Macaca mulatta: one gene and its partner. The protein of the gene in region 1 interacts with the protein of each later gene in a pairwise test. Links are inferred from orthologs where the notes say so. Each region holds a gene or a part of one and is shown on either strand. Other genes may lie near its edges.

The links. The genes of interacting proteins can lie anywhere in the genome.
Region 2: the proteins of PRR13 (region 1) and LGALS3 interact in binary tests that used the Homo sapiens proteins (3 or more experiments, as listed by UniProt). The two-hybrid records come from large-scale screens. The link is inferred for Macaca mulatta from reciprocal best matches to the Homo sapiens genes PRR13 and LGALS3.

Annotation. Positions count from the first base shown.
Region 1 is NC_133416.1:60,588,894-60,599,580, forward strand, and holds PRR13 (proline-rich protein 13), read left to right. Parts: upstream 1-4,150; 5' UTR 4,151-4,245; exon of another isoform or gene 4,246-4,253; intron 4,254-4,355; exon of another isoform or gene 4,356-5,032; intron 5,033-5,140; 5' UTR 5,141-5,160; coding exon 5,161-5,179; intron 5,180-5,658; coding exon of another isoform or gene 5,659-5,722; intron 5,723-5,866; coding exon 5,867-6,240; intron 6,241-8,759; coding exon 8,760-8,807; 3' UTR 8,808-9,356; downstream 9,357-10,687. UniProt on the Homo sapiens protein: Negatively regulates TSP1 expression at the level of transcription. This down-regulation was shown to reduce taxane-induced apoptosis.
Region 2 is NC_133412.1:128,271,739-128,279,281, forward strand, and holds part of LGALS3 (galectin-3), read left to right. Parts: intron 1-2,019; 5' UTR 2,020-2,023; coding exon 2,024-2,041; intron 2,042-2,695; coding exon 2,696-3,013; intron 3,014-4,906; coding exon 4,907-4,995; intron 4,996-7,205; coding exon 7,206-7,371; intron 7,372-7,543. UniProt on the Homo sapiens protein: Galactose-specific lectin which binds IgE. May mediate with the alpha-3, beta-1 integrin the stimulation by CSPG4 of endothelial cells migration.

The sequences.
Region 1 (10,687 bases):
CTCAGGACATAGGCAGGGGCAAAGATTTAATGATGAGATCACCAAAAGCAATCACAACAAAAGCAAAAATTTGTAATGTGATCTAATTAAACTAAAGAGCTTCTGCACAGCAAAAGAAACTAACATCGGAACAAACCGCCAACCTACAGAACAGGAGAAAATTTTTATGATCTGACAAAGTGTCTAATATCCAGAATCTACAATAAACTCAAACAAATTTAGAAGAAAAAAAAAAAATCCCATTAAAAAGTGGGCAAAGGACATGAACAGACACTTCTCAAAAGAAGACATGCAGCCCACAAACATGAAAAAAAGCACATCATCACTGAACATCAGAGAAATGTAAATCAAAACCATAATGAGATACTATCTCATGCCAGTCAGAATGCTGATGATTAAAAAGTCAAGAAATAACAGGCCAGGCCTGGTGGCTCATGCCTGTAATCCTAGCACTTTGGGAGGCCAAGGTGGGTGAATCACTTGAGGTCAGGAGTTTGAAACTGCCCTAGCCAACATGGTGAAACCCCATTTCTACTAAACACACACACATACACACACACACTATATATATATATATATATATATATATTTATTTATTTATTTATTTTTCTGAGATGGAATCTTGCTCTGTCGCCCAAGCTAGAGTGCAGTGGCGCGATCTCGGCTCACCGCAAGCTCTGCCTCCCAGGTTCACGCCATTCTCCTGCCTCAGCCTCCTGAGTAGCTGGGACTACAGGTGCCCATCACCACGCCCGTCGAATTTTTTTTGTATTTTTAGTAGAGATGGGGTTTCACCGTGTTAGCCAGGATCGTCTCGATCTCCTGACCTCGTGATCCGCCCGCCTTGCCCTCCCAAAGTGCTGGGATTACAGGCGTGAGCCACCGTGCCCAGCCAATTTTTTGTATTTTTAGTAGAGATGGGATTTCACCATGTTGGCCAGGCTGGTCTTGAATTCCTGACCTTGTGATCCACTTGCCTCAGCCTCCCATAGTGCTAGGATTACAGGCGTGAGCCACCCCGCCTGGCCTAATTTTTTTGTATATTTAGTAGAGACGGGGTTTTGCTATGCTGGCCAGGCTGGTCTCGAACTCCTGGCCTCATGTGATCCACCTGCCTCGGCCTCCCAAAATGCTGGGATTACAGGCATGAGCTACCATGTTCTGCCTATATCCCACAAATTTTGGATCTAATATTTTCATTATGGCTTATTTCTTTTTGTGCTCTTTTGCCCATGCTGGAGTGCAGTGGCATGATCTTGGCTCATCACAACCTCCACCTCTCAGGCTCAAGTGATTCTCCCACCCCAGCCCTGAGTAGCCGGGACAACTGGGTGTGAGCCACCACACCCGGCTAATTTTTGTATTTTTATGCCCGGCTAATTTTTGTATTTGTATTAGAGACAGGGTTTCCCCTGTGGCCCACGCTGGTCTTGAACTCCTGGACTCAAGGAATCTGTCTGCCTCAGCCTCCTAAAGTGTTGGGATTACTGGCGTGAGCCACCACACCCGGCCTGCTTCTTTCTTCCTTCCTTCCTTCCTTCCTTCCTTTTTTTTTTTTTTTTTTTTTTTGAGACGGAGTCTTGCTCTGTTGCCAGTCTGGAGTGCAGTGGCACCATCTCAGCTCACTGCCATCTCTGCCTCCCGGGTTCAAGTGATTCTACTGTATCAGCCTCCTGAGCAGTTGGGATTACAGCGTGTGCCATCACACCCAGCTAATTTTTGTATTTTTAGTAGAGACAGGTGTTCACCATGTTGGCCAGGATGGTCTCAAAATCCTGACCTCATGATCCACCCACCTCGGCCTCCCAAAGTGCTGGGATTATAGGCATGAGTCACCGTGCCCACCTACTTATTTCTAAGTATTTAATTTCCATCATGGCTTATTCTTTCCGTTGTTATTTTAAGGCAATTTATTTATTTATTTAGAGATTGAATCTTGCTCTGTCACCCAGGCTGGAGTGCAGTGGTGTGATTTGGGCTCACTGCAACCTCTGCCTCCCAGGCTCAAGTGATCCTCCCACCTTACCCTCCTGAGTAGCTGGGACTACAGGCGTGCACCACCACTCTCGGCTAATTTTTATTTTTTATTTATTATTTATTTATTTTTATTTTTATTTTTATTTTTTTTGAGACGGAGTCTCGCTCTGTCGCCCAGGCTGGAGTGCAGTGGCCGGATCTCAGCTCACTGCAAGCTCCGCCTCCCGGGTTTACGCCATTCTCCTGCCTCAGCCTCCCGAGTAGCTGGGACTACAGGCGCCCGCCACCTCGCCCGGCTAGTTTTTTTGTATTTTTAGTAGAGACGGGGTTTCACCATGTTAGCCAGGATGGTCTCGATCTCCTGACCTTGTGATCCGCCCATCTCGGCCTCCCAAAGTGCTGGGATTACAGGCTTGAGCCACCGCGCCCGGCCTTAATTTTTTATTTTTGTAGAGATGATGTCTTACTAAGTTGCCCATTCTGGTCCTGAACTCCTGACCTCAAGTGATCCTCCAGCCACGGCCTCCCAAAGTGCTGGGATTACATGCATAAACCACTGTGCCCAGCCTGGATGACAGTTAAACAATTTTTTTTTCTAAAAAAAAAATCTAGCTGTATGTTTGCTTATATTTTACATCGTGGTCAGGGAATATGTATTGAACAGTTCTTTCAAAATTGAATTGCATCAGTTGAGACATGCTTAACTTAGAATGTGACCAATTTTTATAAATGCTCTAAGCATGCTTAAGGAGAATTAGCAGTCATTAAGTTTTGAGAGCATGGTTCAATGCATGTTCATCAGGTCAAGTTTGTTAATTGTATTGTGTGTGATTTTTTTGTTGTCGTTGTTTATTATTATTATTTTTGAGACGGAGTCTCACTCTATTACCCAGGTTGGAGTGCAGTGGCACGATTTCGGCTCACTGCAACCTCCGCCTCCCGGGTTCAGCGATTCTCCTGCCTCAGCCTCCCAAGTGGCTGGGATCACAGGCACATGTCACCACGCCCGGCTAATTTTTGTATTTTTAGTAGAAACGGGGTTTTACCATATTGGCCAGGCTGGTCTCGAACTCCTGACCTCGTGATCCGCCCGCCTCGGCTTCCCAAAGTGCTTGGATTACAGGCATGAGCCAATGTACCTGGCCACTTGTATTGTTTTCTTTAAAAAAAAAAAAAAAAAGTCTGGGCGCGGTGGCTCACGCCTGTAATCCCAGCACTTTGAGAGGCCGAGGCAGGCAGATCACGAAGTCAAGAGATGGAGACCATCCTGGCCAACATGGTGAAACCCCATCTCTACTAAGAAATACAAAAATTAGCCGCGCCTGTAGTCCCAGCTACTCGGGAGGCTGAGGCAGAAGAATCGCTTGAACGCGGGAAGCGGAGGTTGCAGTGAGCTGAGGTCGCACCACTGCACTCCAGCCTGGCAACAGAGCGAGACTCCGTCTCAAAAAAAAAAAAAAAAAAAAAAAAAAAAAAGAGGCCATTGTAGCAATTCAGGGGAGAAATGAATCCAGGCGAGAGATGATGGGAGGTTTAGACCAGGGAAGACGGAGAGAAGTGGAGAGATTCCAGATGTATTTGTGAGACAAAACTGGTAATTTGGGGTAAGGGAGGTGAAGGAGACAGAGGGATCACGGAAGACCTCCTTGGTTTCTGGTTTAGGCTTCTTGACAGATGGCGGAGCTATGCAATTGAGAGAGGGAATCCTGGGAGAGATTATGAAATCTCTGTATTTTCCGCAAGAATGTTTGTTTGCTTCCCTTGCGAGTGTAAGAGGGAGCCGAGAACATTGAGGCTTGGGGCTAGGACTCAGCAGCTCCTCTGCCCTTGCCGAGAACTCTGTCTATATCTGTATTACAACACTTACCATAGTGTATTCACTTTACAAGGTATTGCACCCAGTGAACCATGACTAGCAGAGAGCAAGGGCAGAGTTTCTTCTCGGTGTCTCTAGGACTTTGCCCAGCAGCTGGCCCCGCCCCCTCTAGCGCTCTCCGCCTAGCTCCGCCCCCAGGAGATTTCCGGCTTCTCAGTACTTGCCTAGTCGTAAAGGGCTCCGGTCTGCAGCTAGAGCAACCGTTTCCTCCTCAGTTGGACCAGAGTGATTGATTAGTTTGTTGTCCAATCATCAGCCGAGTGGCCACATAATTACCAATTAGGCAGTAGCAGAGGCGGGTACCGAAGCACGGGGTCTGGGTGACTAGGTGTGACTAGGAAGTAAGAGCCGAGACTGCGAAGAACGCATCAAGTCCAGGCGGCGGTGGAAAGGTGACGTGGTATCTGAATTCCATGGGTTTATTCCTTTTCCCATTGCTGGGTTAAGAGCCCCTTCGCAGCTTGGGGCTAGGATCTTCATTTGCCTTTTTTCTTTTTTGGAGGAATTGGGCTGTGTCCATTTATTTAAGTATTTGAGGTTCTTGAGCAACTTCCTTCTTCGCCTCCAGGCGTATCCTTTTCTTAGCCTGAGGTGAGGTCCTCCCCAGGGAGAAAGTTGTTTGAGATCCTTTCTTACTCTGTGGGTGGTTAAAGGCCTCCGGACTCAGTTCCAGGAAAGGGGGATGAATGATGGGGGTGCCGAGACTCGCGGGCTATGCCCTCTTGCGAAGAGTTAGACGCTTCAACCTAGGTGGAGGGGCCCTGGGAACTAGATTCCTGTGTTAGGAACCAAGTAGGTATTGAGGGCGAAGAAACAAGTGGAAAGAGACATTTCTTTCTTTTTTTTTTTTTCTTCGAGGCGGTGTCTCGCTCTGTTGCCCAGGCTAGAGTGCAGTGGCGCGATCTCAGCTCACTGTAACTTCCGCCTCCCAGGTTCAAGCGATTCTCCTGCCTCAGCCTCCCGAGTAACTGGGATTACAGGCGCCCGCCACCGCGCCCGGCTAATTTTTAGATTTTTAGTAGAGACGGGGTTTAACGATGTTGGCCAGGCTGGTGTCGAATTCCTGACCTCGTGATCCACCCGCCTTGGCCTCCCAAAGTGCTGGGATTACAAGCGTGAGCCACCGCGCCCAGCCAGAAAAGAGATGTGTCTTATGTGGAAGTCGTGGTAGTTCTCCAGGTGGGAGAGCCTACTGTGGGGTGGAAGACGTTAGGGCTGGGCTCCGGTGCTAAGTCCACTTCCTACCTCTAGACTGTCATCTTTTTTGCCTCATTTCTTTCTCCTCAGGCTGGAGGACACACCTAAACATGTGGAATCCCAATGCCGGTAGGTGTTTGGGGGTTCTGTACGACCCCTAACCCTTTTTCTGATGGACTCTGCGTAACAGGAAGTTTCTCTATCAGCTGCCCCATCCCCGACCCGCCACACCCGCAAAAGCAAAGTCCTTAGTCTACAGCTGACCAGTGCTTTTTTATTTTATTTTATTTATTTATTTTTTGAGACGGAGTCTCTGTCGCCCAGGCTGGAGTGCAGTGGCGCGATCTCGGCTCACTGCAACCTCCGCCTCCTGGGTTCAAGCGATTCTCCTGTTTCAGCCTCTGGAGTAGCTGAGATTACAGGCGTGCGCCATCACGCCCTACTACTTTTTGTATTTTTAGTAGAGACGGGGTTTCACCATGTTGGCCAGGCTGGTCTTGAACTCCTGGCCTCATGTGATCTGTCCACCTCGGCCTCCCAAACTGCTGGGATTACAGGCTTGAGCCACCACGCCCCACCGGCCTGACCAGTACTTTTGTCTTCCTCAGAGTTCACTGTCTCCCTCCTCTCTCCAGCCCTTACGGGGACATTCCCCTTTTATCCTCAACTCAGGTTTGTCTCCCCTACCTTCTATTCTCCTTTGTCACTTTTCCATTTCCCTTTAAGTATTGGGTGAGAAAGAATCTCTTTCTTTTTGTTGTTTGTTGTCGGAGACTCTGGGGAATACTAATGTTTATAATCTGCTTCTTCCCCCAGGGCAGCCAGGGCCAAATCCATATACCCCCAACATCGGGTGCCCTGGAGGTTCCAATCCTGCCCACCCACCACCTATTAACCCACTCTTTCCCTCAGGCCCCTGTCCTCCTCCCCCAGGAGCTCCCCAGGGCAATCCAGCTTTCCCCCCAGGTGGGCCCCCTCATCCTGTGCCACAGCCAGGGTATCCAGGATGCCAACCCTTGGGTCCCTACCCTCCTCCATACCCACCTCCTGCCCCTGGAATCCCTCCTGTGAATCCCTTGGCTCCTGGCATGGTCGGACCAGCAGTGATAGTGGACAAGAAGATGCAGAAGAAAATGAAGAAAGCTCATAAAAAGATGAACAAGCACCACAAGCACCACAAGCGTGGCAAGGTCAGTACCCTCTGGAGCCTGGCTAGGGAAGGGGTGCCCCCTCAGAGGGACTAGGTAGGCAGGGGTTGGGTGAGGGGGATTCACATTCTGTGGACGTGGGGGATGACGATTGTGTCACTCTGGTCGATGATTCTTCCTTTTTGTAAAAGATTGCTACTGGGAAGAATCTGATTATCTTGAAAAGAAACATCAGGCTTCTCCTATCTGGGGGGAGCTAGGGTGAGCCTTAAAATAGATTTTTAGAATCAAAAGCCAAATCTTTTCTGCCCTACTCTCTCCCAGAACTTTTGCTCCCCTCCCCGCAGGTGCATATTCTAGCAAGTTGGACCCCCTCACTGACATTATCAAAACATCAATTAAAGTCATTCCTTTGACAAAGCAAAGTCTTATAATAATTAACAGAATAATAATATGGCCCTAGTTCCTGGAGTTCTTTCTCTCTTTCAGTGTTCTTAGGGCCTTGTGTTAATTACATGGGCCCTTTGCCCTATCATCCAGCAGAAAAAGTGAGGACAAGAGCAGTCAGTGACTCAGCCTCTAACAGCCTAGGACTAAGGAGGTTTTATACTCAGCCCCAAGGCTGAGTATCTTTGTTTTAGAGGACTGTTAAAAATTAGTAAGGATCATGCCTGTAATCCCAGCACTTGGGAATTATTAGCTGGGTGTGGTGGCGCATGCCTGTAATCCCAGCTACTCAGGAGGCTGAGGCAGGCGAATTGCTTGAACCCGGGAGGCGGAGGTTGCAGTGAGCCCAGATCTCACCACTGCACTCCAGCCTCGATGACAGACAAGACTCCATCTCAAAAAAAAAAGTGCAAGGATAAAAGCAACTCTGAGGTCAACTCTGGAAGGATTAAACCAATCTGCATCTTGATGAGGCCTCCATTTACATTTAACTGCCCAGTAAATTTATTTGCCTTGTGGATTCTAATTCCTGATTCTGGGTATTTGATAGAAGTCTGAAGAGAAGGCCAGGCACTGTGGTCCACACCTGTAATCCCAGCACTTTGGGAGTCCAGGGCAGGCAGATCACGAGGTCAGGAGTTCGAAACCAGCCTAGCCAAATGGCGAAACATGTCTACTAAAGATACAAAAAATTATCTGGGCATGGTGCTGTGTGCCTGTAATCCCAGGTACTCCGGAGACTGAGGCGGGAGAATCTCTTTTTTTTTTTTTTTTGAGACGGAGTCTCGCTCTGTCCCCCACGCTGGAGTGCAGTGGTGCAATCTCGGCTCACTGCAAGCTCCGCCTCCAGAGTTCACGCCATTCTCCTGCCTCAGCACCCCCCACCAATTAGCTGGGACTACAGGCACCCGCTACAGCGCCTAATTTTTTTTTGTTTTGTTTTGTTTTTGTTTTTTTTTGTTTTTTTTGAGACGGAGTCTCGCTCTGTCGCCCGGGCTGGAGTGCAGTGGCCGGATCTCAGCTCACTGCAAGCTCCGCCTCCCGGATTTACGCCATTCTCCTGCCTCAGCCTCCCGAGTAGCTGGGACTACAGGCGCCCGCCAACTCACCCGGCTACTTTTTTGTATTTTTTAGTAGAGATGGGGTTTCACCGTGTTAGCCAGGATGGTCTCGATCTCCTGACCTCGTGATCCACCCGTCTCGGCCTCCCAAAGTGCTGGGATTACAGGCTTGAGCCACCGCGCCCGGCTATTTTTTGTATTTTTAGTAGAGACGGGGTTTCACCCGTGGTCTCGATCTCCTGACCTTGTGATCCTCCCACCTCGGCCTCCCAAAGTGCTGGGATTATAGGCATGAGCCACCGCACCCAGCAGAGAATCTCTTAAACCCAGGAGGTGGAGGTTGCAGTGAGCTGAGATCATGCCATTGCACTCCAGCCTGGGCGACAGGGTGAGACTCCATCTGAAAAAAAAAAAGAAGTCTGAAGAGAATTGAGATTTAGTGGGGAAGAAGGGGGAGAAATTACCCTGGAGAGACTGAAAAATGTTTTTATTTAATAACTGTAGCATTGCTGGGAGTATGTGCTTAAGGAACATTTAATAGAACTCCCAGCCTTTTCTTACATCTTCCCCACTTTTTCCTATTGTGCTTTGGAAAAAGTAGAGATACGTGCACACACAACTGCTGTTTCTACTGTCTTCTTAGATTTGTAGAATCCAATTTCTTAAAATCATAGGACTTTGCATGCAGCTAATAAATAAGCATTTATAAGGTAACTGCTGTTTCCTGGCACCATACTATGCTTGGGCCTGTAATTTATTCCTTGCCTAGGCATCGATTCAGGTAAAGAAAGTTGGAAATTTGCTCCAAAGGCAATATGTTAAATTTTTAAAATTCTGTGTGATAATTTAGGATGGTTTAATCCATTCCTGTGTGCTCACTGCTGAAGGAAACCCTTGCTTTTGTTTAGGTACAGTCAGTTCAAGACTCCTGACCTTCTTAGGGAAGCAAGGGATACTTGGGTAGAGGGGTAGGGCACCAAAGAATGGCCCACGGAGTGATGAAAGGTCATTTGGATCTGATGCTTCTTTCCTCTTTCCCCTTTCCCCTTGCAGCATTCCTCCTCCTCTTCCTCCTCCTCTTCCAGCAGTGATTCTGACTGAATACAGGCCCTGGACCCTTCCCTCAAGTCTCACCAGTTCTGCTCTCCCATCAAGCTTCAGATGCCATGTTGTACTGGGGGAAAGTAGCCCTTGTGCTCCCCACCCCCTACCTCCACCTGAGCCTCACCCTGCTGTTGAGCCCTGAGTGGCTAGGGGAAATGGGAAGAGGATTGCCATGGCCTGGCCATCTTGTTGCTGCTTGGATAGATCATATAGCTAATGAATTAGGCAGGGGAGCTATTTTTTGAAAATGATGAACTAAATGTTGAAGACAAGTTTGAGATCTGTAAAATGTGATTTTTTTACTTCCGCTTATAATACTTGTGATTGGGGAGGTTTGCGGAAATTTAATTATGATGAAAAACCTCTATCTTTTTTGTAATGTTGCCATACTTGGGGAATTTAGTGGCAAATACATTCCCCAGCAGGCCTTTTGTTGGTTGCACTAACTGCAAAGTTGCTGGGAAGTAGAGTCCCTTTGGTCGATCAGCTTTGACTGCCATTTTGGAACCTTACCTTTCCTCCTTAGCCCAATATGCTGTCTCAGGTCCTATTCAAATAAAGATATTTCTCCTGGTCTCTGTTCACCTGTGCTATCACCTTGGCTGGGTATGGCACATTCTACAACTTTTGCTAATGTTCCACAGACCCTTTAAAGTGTATCAATTTTATAGAAGGGAACCAGAGCTTCACTGAGGAAGACACCATGTGATTCCTATGTTTTTTAAGTGGGAGAACTCTTCAAAATTGGGTCAGGCAGAGTGGCATGAATCTTTATTGTCTTCCCTTGGGTCAATGGATATAGGCCTTTAGCTTATGTTTTTTTAACTCTGGCTGCCCATCAGCTATGAGAGAGTAATATGGGGCTTTACCCCAAATTTATTGAATAATACTTATTTTTTAAAAATTTTTTTCCTAAAACTTTTTATTTTTATTTATGTATTTATTTATTTTGAGATGGAGTTTCGCTGTTATTGCGCAGGTTGGAGCGCAGTGGCGCAATTGTAACCTCCACCCCCCAGGTTCAAGTGATTTTCCTGCCTCAGCCTCCCAAGTAGCTGCGACTACAGGCACCTGCCACCATGCCCGGCTAATTTTGTATTTTTAGTAGGGACAGGGTTTCAACATGTTGGTCAGTCAGGCTGGTCTCAAACTCCTGACCTCAGGTGATCCACCTGCCTTAGCCTCCCAAAGTGCTGGGATTACAGGCATGAGCGACCGTGCTCAGCTAAGACTTTTTACATGTGTCCCTACAAATCAGTATATTTAAGAAACTGTGGGCCAGGCGTGGTGGCTCACGCCTGTAATCCCAGCACTTTGGGAGGCTGAGGCAGGCAGAGCACGAGGCCAGGAGTTCCAGACCACCAGCCTGGCCAACATGGAGAAACCCCATCTCTATAAAAATACAAAATTAGCCGCGCGTGGTGGCTCATGCCTGTAATCCTAGCTACTCGGGAGGCTGAGGCAGGAGAATCGCTTGAATCCGGGAGGCAGAGGTTCAGTCAGAATTGGAGCTCAAGACAGCCTGGCTTCTGAGTCTCTGCTCTTAACCCAATGGATTCCAGGCAGAAGCAGTAGTTTTACAAAGGTGCCAAGTTGCAAAAAGTGTACGATGAAAGGAGCTCCTGAACCTGAGTTCCTGAAAGCAGGAAATGAGGCTGCAGTTGGGGACATGGGGCTAGAGGAAGGAGTAGACTTAACAGATGTTTCTGAGGTGGAACCCATGGGTTTGGGCATTGAGTGCAGGGCTTGAGGAGGAACAGGGAAGAGGGAGTGTTTTGAGTTGGCTATACTGCATCCATAACTTCTCTGGAAAGAGTTCTATGAAATAAATGCCTGAGATCTTCTTATATTTTACAGCTAGCTTCTAATTTTATTAG
Region 2 (7,543 bases), on another chromosome or scaffold:
AGCTCTGCCTGTTTGAGTTTTACCACAAAAATGTAATATTTTGTGCTTTTCTTTCTTTCTTTTTTTGAGACGGGGTCTCGCTTTGTCACCCAGGCTGGAGTGCAGTGGTGCAATCACAGCTCAGTGCAGCCTTGACCTCCTAGGCTGAAATGATCTTCTCACCTCAGCCCCTCAAGTAGCTGGGACCACAGGCTGCACCACCACACCTGGCTAATTTTTGTATTTTTCATAGAGACAGGGTTTTGCCATATTGTCCAGGCTAGTCTTGAACTCTTGGGCTCAAGCAATCCGCCCACCTTAGCCTCCCAACGTGCTGGGGATTACAGGCATGAGCCACGCCCAGCCAATATCTTGCATTTGAATCAAGTAGTGGACATTTATTGAATCCCTTGGGGCGATGTCATTTCTAAAAGTGATTGAGTAAATATCACAGGTAGGCAATCAAGGATATTCTGGTTGTTTCAAGGTCTACGTAATTCAGGCCATGGCACAGGTGATCCTGAGCTTAGGAAGAACTCACCCATGCCTCAGGGGCCCAACTGCCCTCCTCCCCTCACAGCTGGAGCACCTGCAACAGCTGTGAAGCATCTTGTGCTTTAGGAGCCTTGACATGGGAAGGAACAGGAGAAAGCAGGATTGATGTCTCCAGACCACCCCTTGTGGCAGCTTTGGGCAAGGCAAACCCTCTTTGGTAGCATCTTACACCCAAATATTTTTTTCTTTCACGTTGCCTGAATTTTTTCACCTTAGTTTGTTGTACTGCCAAAGATTTTATTTGGAATAACAAGTACCTTTAAAAAAAGAAAGCACATACAAACTTCAGCTGCCCTTTGAGGCTTAGCTCCAACAGCACTTTTCCTTTCCTTCTTAGAAGTAAGCTTTCTGCGTTTGAATTCCTACAGCACACATTCTAACTCATAGCATTCGTGACTTGTTATTTCACATTTCCATGGATGCATCTCATCTGCCTTGCTGGACTGTGGGCCCTTTGGCTTTTTTTAAAATTCTTAATCTTTATGGGTACATAGCAGGTATATATATTTATGGGCTACATAAAGATGTTTTGACACAGGTATGTAGTGCATGATAATCACATCATGGAAAATGGGGCATTCATATTCTCATTTATTTGTGTTACAAACAATCCAAGTATACTTTTAGTTATGTTCAAATGTACAATGAAATTATTGACTATAGTCACCCTGTTGTGCTGTCAAATATCAGGCCTTATTCATTCATTATAACTATTTTTGTCACCCATTAACTATCCTCACCGCCCTCCCACTCACCCACCCCCACTACCTTTCCCAGCCTCTGGTAACCATCCTTCTACTCTATACCTCTGTGGGCTCAATCGTTTTGAGTTTTAGATCCCATGGCCCCTTTGACCATGCAGATCATGGCCTATTCATCTTCGCACCTAGACAAGAGCCTGCGCAGTGCCTGACCAAGAGCAGGCATAAGTGTGTGCAAATAGAGGAATAAATAACAGGGCAGCAACTATGTCTGGAGGTCATTGTCTTTCCTGTCTCAGTAGGAATCAATCACTGCTGATCTTCAAAAACCCAGAGGAGGGGATGGGGCAGTTAGTGGGGACAGAGGGCAGATGGGCAAGATGAACACACCAAACCCTTTATAAGGAGTAAGGAAGGAAGGTGAAGAAGAACCAAAGAGAAACCATGACTGTTTACATTTTTCACCTGGAAAAGGGACAGGACCTTTTCTTCCTCCCTGCCTCCTCCTCCCTCATGCATTGTATGGCCTCTTGGTCTCAGGATTCAGAGCACAGGCTAGTGTGATGGAAGTTTAAACTTGTGAGTTATATTTAACTCACAATCTAGCTGGAAAGCATCCCTGCCCCTTGAGGAGATGTTGTGTGGTCCCACACTACTGACTTAGGCATAATGCCTAGAGATTGACTAGAACTGCACAATGAACTAGTGGTGAGGTTCAATTTAATGGAAATCGGTGAAAGCTTTCAGGATCAAATGATAACCTTTGTCTCTTTCTTTCTCTCAGGAAAATGGCAGACAATTTTTCGGTAAGTGTTTTATGCCTGTTTCTTACCCTCGATCAACTCCACATGGTTGAGGGTTGGGGGTTTTGTTTTTACCATGACTTTCCCTTTTCACTCTCCCACCGTGTGGCTTCCCCTAGACTCATTTGTCCAACGAGGGCTTGTGAGCTGGAGCCTTGTTTTTCCAGCAGCAGATTTGGGAAGAAAGCCAGGCAGAGCAAGGCCTGGGACTCACTTACAGTAACCCTTTCACCAAAAGGCCCAGGGCGGAAGGGAGTGGACTCTGCTGGCAGGAGCTGAGAAATCCTCTGAGTAGCGGGAAGCGCGGTACAGTCTGGGCATTCTGATGTTTGTGATTGTTTTTCTCACAGTGATTAAAAAATATGTGCTGTAAATAGAGGAGCGCTAGCTCCTGACTTGGGCTAATTATGAAAATGCAGCCCTCCCTGATTTGAGACCTTGGGAGGCAAGAACAAAGTGAAAAAGCATATGTAACCCCAACGTCTAATTTTAGTCTTAGACACTCAAAACTATTAACAAGTGGAAAAAGTATAATGATATGCATGTAATGCCTTTGCTATATTCCTCTCCTTCTTAGATCACATATTCCTATTTCCCTGAAAATTCTGCTTTTGAGAATGCTTTCTGTCCTGTAATTGTTTATGTCTTTCTTTACAGCTCCATGATGCCTTATCTGGGTCTGGAAACCCAAACCCTCAAGGATGGCCTGGCCCATGGGGGAACCAGCCTGCTGGGGCAGGGGGCTACCCAGGGGCCTCCTATCCTGGGGCCTACCCCGGGCAGGCACCCCCAGGGGTTTATCCTGGACAGGCACCTCCAGGCGCCTACCCTGGAGCACCTGGAGCTTATTCCGGAGCATCTGGAGTCTACCCAGGGCCACCCAGTGGCGCTGGAGCCTACCCATCTCCTGGACAGCCAAGTGCTCCTGGAGCCTACCCTGCCACTGGCCCCTATGGCGCCCCTGCTGGGCCACTGGTGAGATAGCATTCCTCCTTTCATGTACTTGGCATGCAGAGGGCTTCAGGGAGACCCTGAGCTTTAAACCTGCTGTGACAGCCACTTCTCAAGGGCCAGCCATGGGCATATGTTGGTAGAATCGAAAAATTAAGTGTTCATGTTGAGCTTATTGTGTGTGGTTAGTATAAACAGAAGGTAATGAATATTTTGAAGGCACTGATAAAGCTGCTTATTAATATAAACCAAAATTGTAGTAATGGAGAACATTTTGGTTATTATTAACACTTACTGAGTACATGTCAATAATATGCATCTACCTGGATGATCTAATTTAACCCCATTACCACCCTATACGATACTGTTAATAACCCCATTTCACATGTGGGGAAATGGGGCAATACAGAAGTGATATAATTTGTCCAGGGTCATTGAGCAAACAGGTAGAGGAACCAGGGTAATCTGGTTTTGAGAAACCTTCTAAAGATAATTTTGTGATCTAAGGGTTGAATTTTCATGCAAATTAAAATATGTCTTAGCAAGTGAATTCTAAATGTAAAACATAACTCCGTGGGGGATCCAGATACATCTCAGCCACAGGATCCTTCCTTTCCAGATTTATAGTCTAGTTAGATGATAAAACATATAATAAATATGAGGAAAGAGCTAAGTACCAGTGTGGGATTAGACCATTTCAGAACTATGCAGAAGATGGCACAAGATAGCATTGTCTCCTTTTAGGTCGGTTCAGAGTAGAAAGACTTGGGGGAGTGGGTGGCATTGAGATGGGCCTATACCAGAGATGGTTAGTCAGTTGCAGAGAGAGGGGGACATGAAGGCTGTGGAAAGGAACAGGCAGATGTAAGAGAGATGACAGAGGAAGAACCCCCAGAACCTACTGATTATGTCTTAGAAGACATAGAAGACTGACTTTTCAAGGCTGAGCAATTAGAGCCATCAGCAAAGCTTTAGCCCAAACTGGGAACTCATGAAGGGGAACTGATGGGGGAGGGGGAGGGAAGACCATTCTAGTTCACACTTGTTGAATTTGAGGCACTAGCAGCAAATCCAGGTGGGAAGAAGTACAGGACTAATACACATCAGGACTAGAAAGAAAAGATTTGGATAGGCTGGCTGTGGTGGCTCATGCCTATAATCCCACCACTGTGGGAGGCTGAGGCAGGAGGATCACTTGAGTCCAAGAGGTCGGGGCTGCAGTGAGCTATGATCACACCACTGCACTCCATCCTCAACAACAGAGACCTGGATTTTTGAAACCTTGTCTCAAAAAATGAAAAGGCTGGGGTGATAGTTAAACCCAGAGGGAAGCCTTAAAAAGGGAAAGAAAAGAGGCCATAAATAAATAGAGCTTTGGGGATATTCACAGTACCTTGAATGTAGATGGTCAATAAACATTTGTGGAATGAACCTCAGTTTTAACAGTGTTCATTCTATAAATATTGAGTATCTGCCACGTGCAAAGCACTCTGCTGGAGCCATGTGAGTACAGACCATATGAGAACCCACAAGCCCAGTATGTGATATGCTGCTTGCCCCCAGGAAGCAGAATAACCACAGTGAAGCAAGTGACATGACAGGGCCTTAAGAGTGATACAAAAATGTTAATGTTGATCACAAGATCTAGCTTAAGCCTTTCCAAAAAATAGCCAACATGAATGAGTAGATTGGGATGGCCATAGTAATGAGACTTACTGATGGCTTTCTTTTCAATTATTTGTACATGTAAGGAGCCTTATCTCTTTGGCCCCTGGGCAAAGTGGCCTGAGAGTCTGGACAGATGGCATATACTAGAGTTATGTGTTTTTCACACATATTAATAGTAATGGAACTTCAGCAACATCGTTTTCTTTCCCTAAAGAAACATGACTCCCATATGTACTTGTTCATTCCCAGTCTGTGCCTTATAACCTGCCTTTGCCTGGAGGAGTGGTGCCTCGCATGCTGATAACAATTCTGGGCACGGTGAAGCCTAATGCAAACAGGTAAGGAGAGCAAAATTAACAAGCCTACCCTATTTGTAGATTGGTTTTTGAATAAAGAATGGCCTATTTTGATTTTTTTTTTCTTGCCCTGTCTTACGGTGCTATTTTGAATTTTAATAAAATTTTTAAAAACTACATATTTAGAATCTTGGCTATACCATCATATAGGATTATCCCATAAATCCGTACATATTCCCATATAATTTTGCTAAGCATCGGGGCACTCATAGTAAATGGTAACACACCTTATTCTATACTTTGATATGTATTATGTCAGCTAATCTCCATGGTTGAAGGCAGGATAAGGAATATTGCTTTCCCCTTTTTATAGACAAAACTGAGGCTCAGGTTCTACAGATGATCAGTGGTAGGCCTGGGAACCCGTCTTTTGAGTAGATACTATTTGCTTATGGGTTTGAAGAGATTCTTCAAGTTAAAAACTTCATCATAATAAATCAACCTTTGCTATTGGAAGTGGTTTGATTGATGAGGTGGGCTAGGATGGGGTGAGGCTTTATTTAGGAAAATACATGCTAATTATGGCTGTCCTGGGCCACTTGGCCCTGGTTGTCACCACTGGTTATGTAGTATTTACATATTATACAAAGAAGCTGGCCATGTCCTGAAACCATCCGGGATGCTTGCGCCTGAGGTTAGTGGAAGAATCTCTAGGTCTTATGAACAGTACCTAAATGGTACAGATTCAAGCCATGTACACAGGTTTATGCAAGAATCCATAAACAGTCTCAGTGTCTGTCACCTTGCTCCACATCCTGCCATCAAGAGATGGACTTCACTTCTGATCTGATAATTTCACATTGAAATGCTCATTCGCTCCACCTCAGCCAGCCTCCCCTGTTTCTGCAATGGTAGTCACTATCCTAAGCCAACCCATCTTTCCACACAGCCTAGACAATTTCTGTAAGCACAGAACTTCCCCATACAATAATGCCCGTCTCATAGCAAATTACAAAATATATATATCCTCTATGTCCTTATCCGTATTTCCTCCCAACATCACATAGAACCCAGCACACCTTATCCTGTGCACACAGCACTCATGATTAAATATCTGCTCTCCTCCTCCCACAACCCCTAATGCACACTGAATACCCAGTGTGGTATCCTTGTCTTGTTAGAGTCATTTCACTGGAAAGTTTAGCTCTAATGCTAGAGATGTAGATTGAGACTGGCAGATCAAAACTAATTCTGGTTGAAATGGTTAATGGTAGTAAACTAAAAAAACTGTTGCTTAGTCCTACAAATTCTATATGACGAACTGCATAGAAAAAAAAAGTACTTAAGGTGACAGAGATGACAACATTGTATATTTAGTCAAATACAAATTCTATTGCTGTTTTTTCCTTACAAGTTTAATCACTGGAAGATCATTTGTGGTTGAATGTGACTTTTACTGGGTGAATCAAAATACAGAGAATCTTTGTTAGTTGGTCTCGAGTGCAGACCTGGCTTTAAAATAAGAATACCTACTGATGATTCTGGTGTTACTGCTCTATAGAGCACACTTTGAGAAACTCAGGGATGGGGTTAGTCAAAGAGGACTTGTGTTTGCATTAACATCCAGGGAGAAGGAACAGGGTCAAAAAGCTAAACTAGCAATTTCATTGGTTCCAGCTCACATCATAGAATGTTTACCACATTTACTATCATGACTTTACAACTTAGCAACAAGATACTGAATATTAACTACCTTATCTCATCCTTGCTGTTTTAGAGGAACTAGGGCTTCTGGTTAATTACGAGGAAGCCAGGCATTTGATGGCTGTTAACTATATAGCTGGCTTGCCTTTACCAGGTATTGAAAGCAAACTGGAAGAGCAGGAAACATTATCTATAGTAAGGGATAAAGTATCCTCAGAGTGGCTCTAAACCTCTGTAAGAAAACCTCGAAGGGTTTTCATGAGTCTGTAAAGGAGGCATTACAGATGAATGGAAATATGATCGAAGACAATGAGGCAAAAAAAATTCAACATATATTGTCTTGCTTACCTTTAGATTTTATGATAGTACATAGAATATCAGGTGTAGGATACTTTCCAGTTTGAACCCATTCTGATTTGCTTTCTGTTCAGAAAAATTTCCTAGGTACTGTATTATGAAATTATTTGCTTTTTAGAAAATTATATTCTTTACTTCGTGTAGATATACAGTTTTAATCATTTTAATAACTGGTCTTTGGTTTAAAACAGAATTGCTTTAGATTTCAAGAGAAGGAATGATGTTGCCTTCCACTTTAACCCACGCTTCAATGAGAACAACAGGAGAGTCATTGTTTGCAATACAAAGCTGGATAATAACTGGGGAAGGGAAGAAAGACAGTCAGTTTTCCCATTTGAAAGTGGGAAACCATTCAAAGTAAGTTATTGCTACTATTATATATTGATAATGTGCATTTCTCATGAGGAATCACTCTAAAACCACAAAGCACTTGAAATGAGTTTTTATCACCTGTCCTAAGGTGCCTAACCAGTGTATCTTCTCCCTGCCCAGGGGACCAGGCTCAGCAGGCTGAGAACATGGCCAGGAG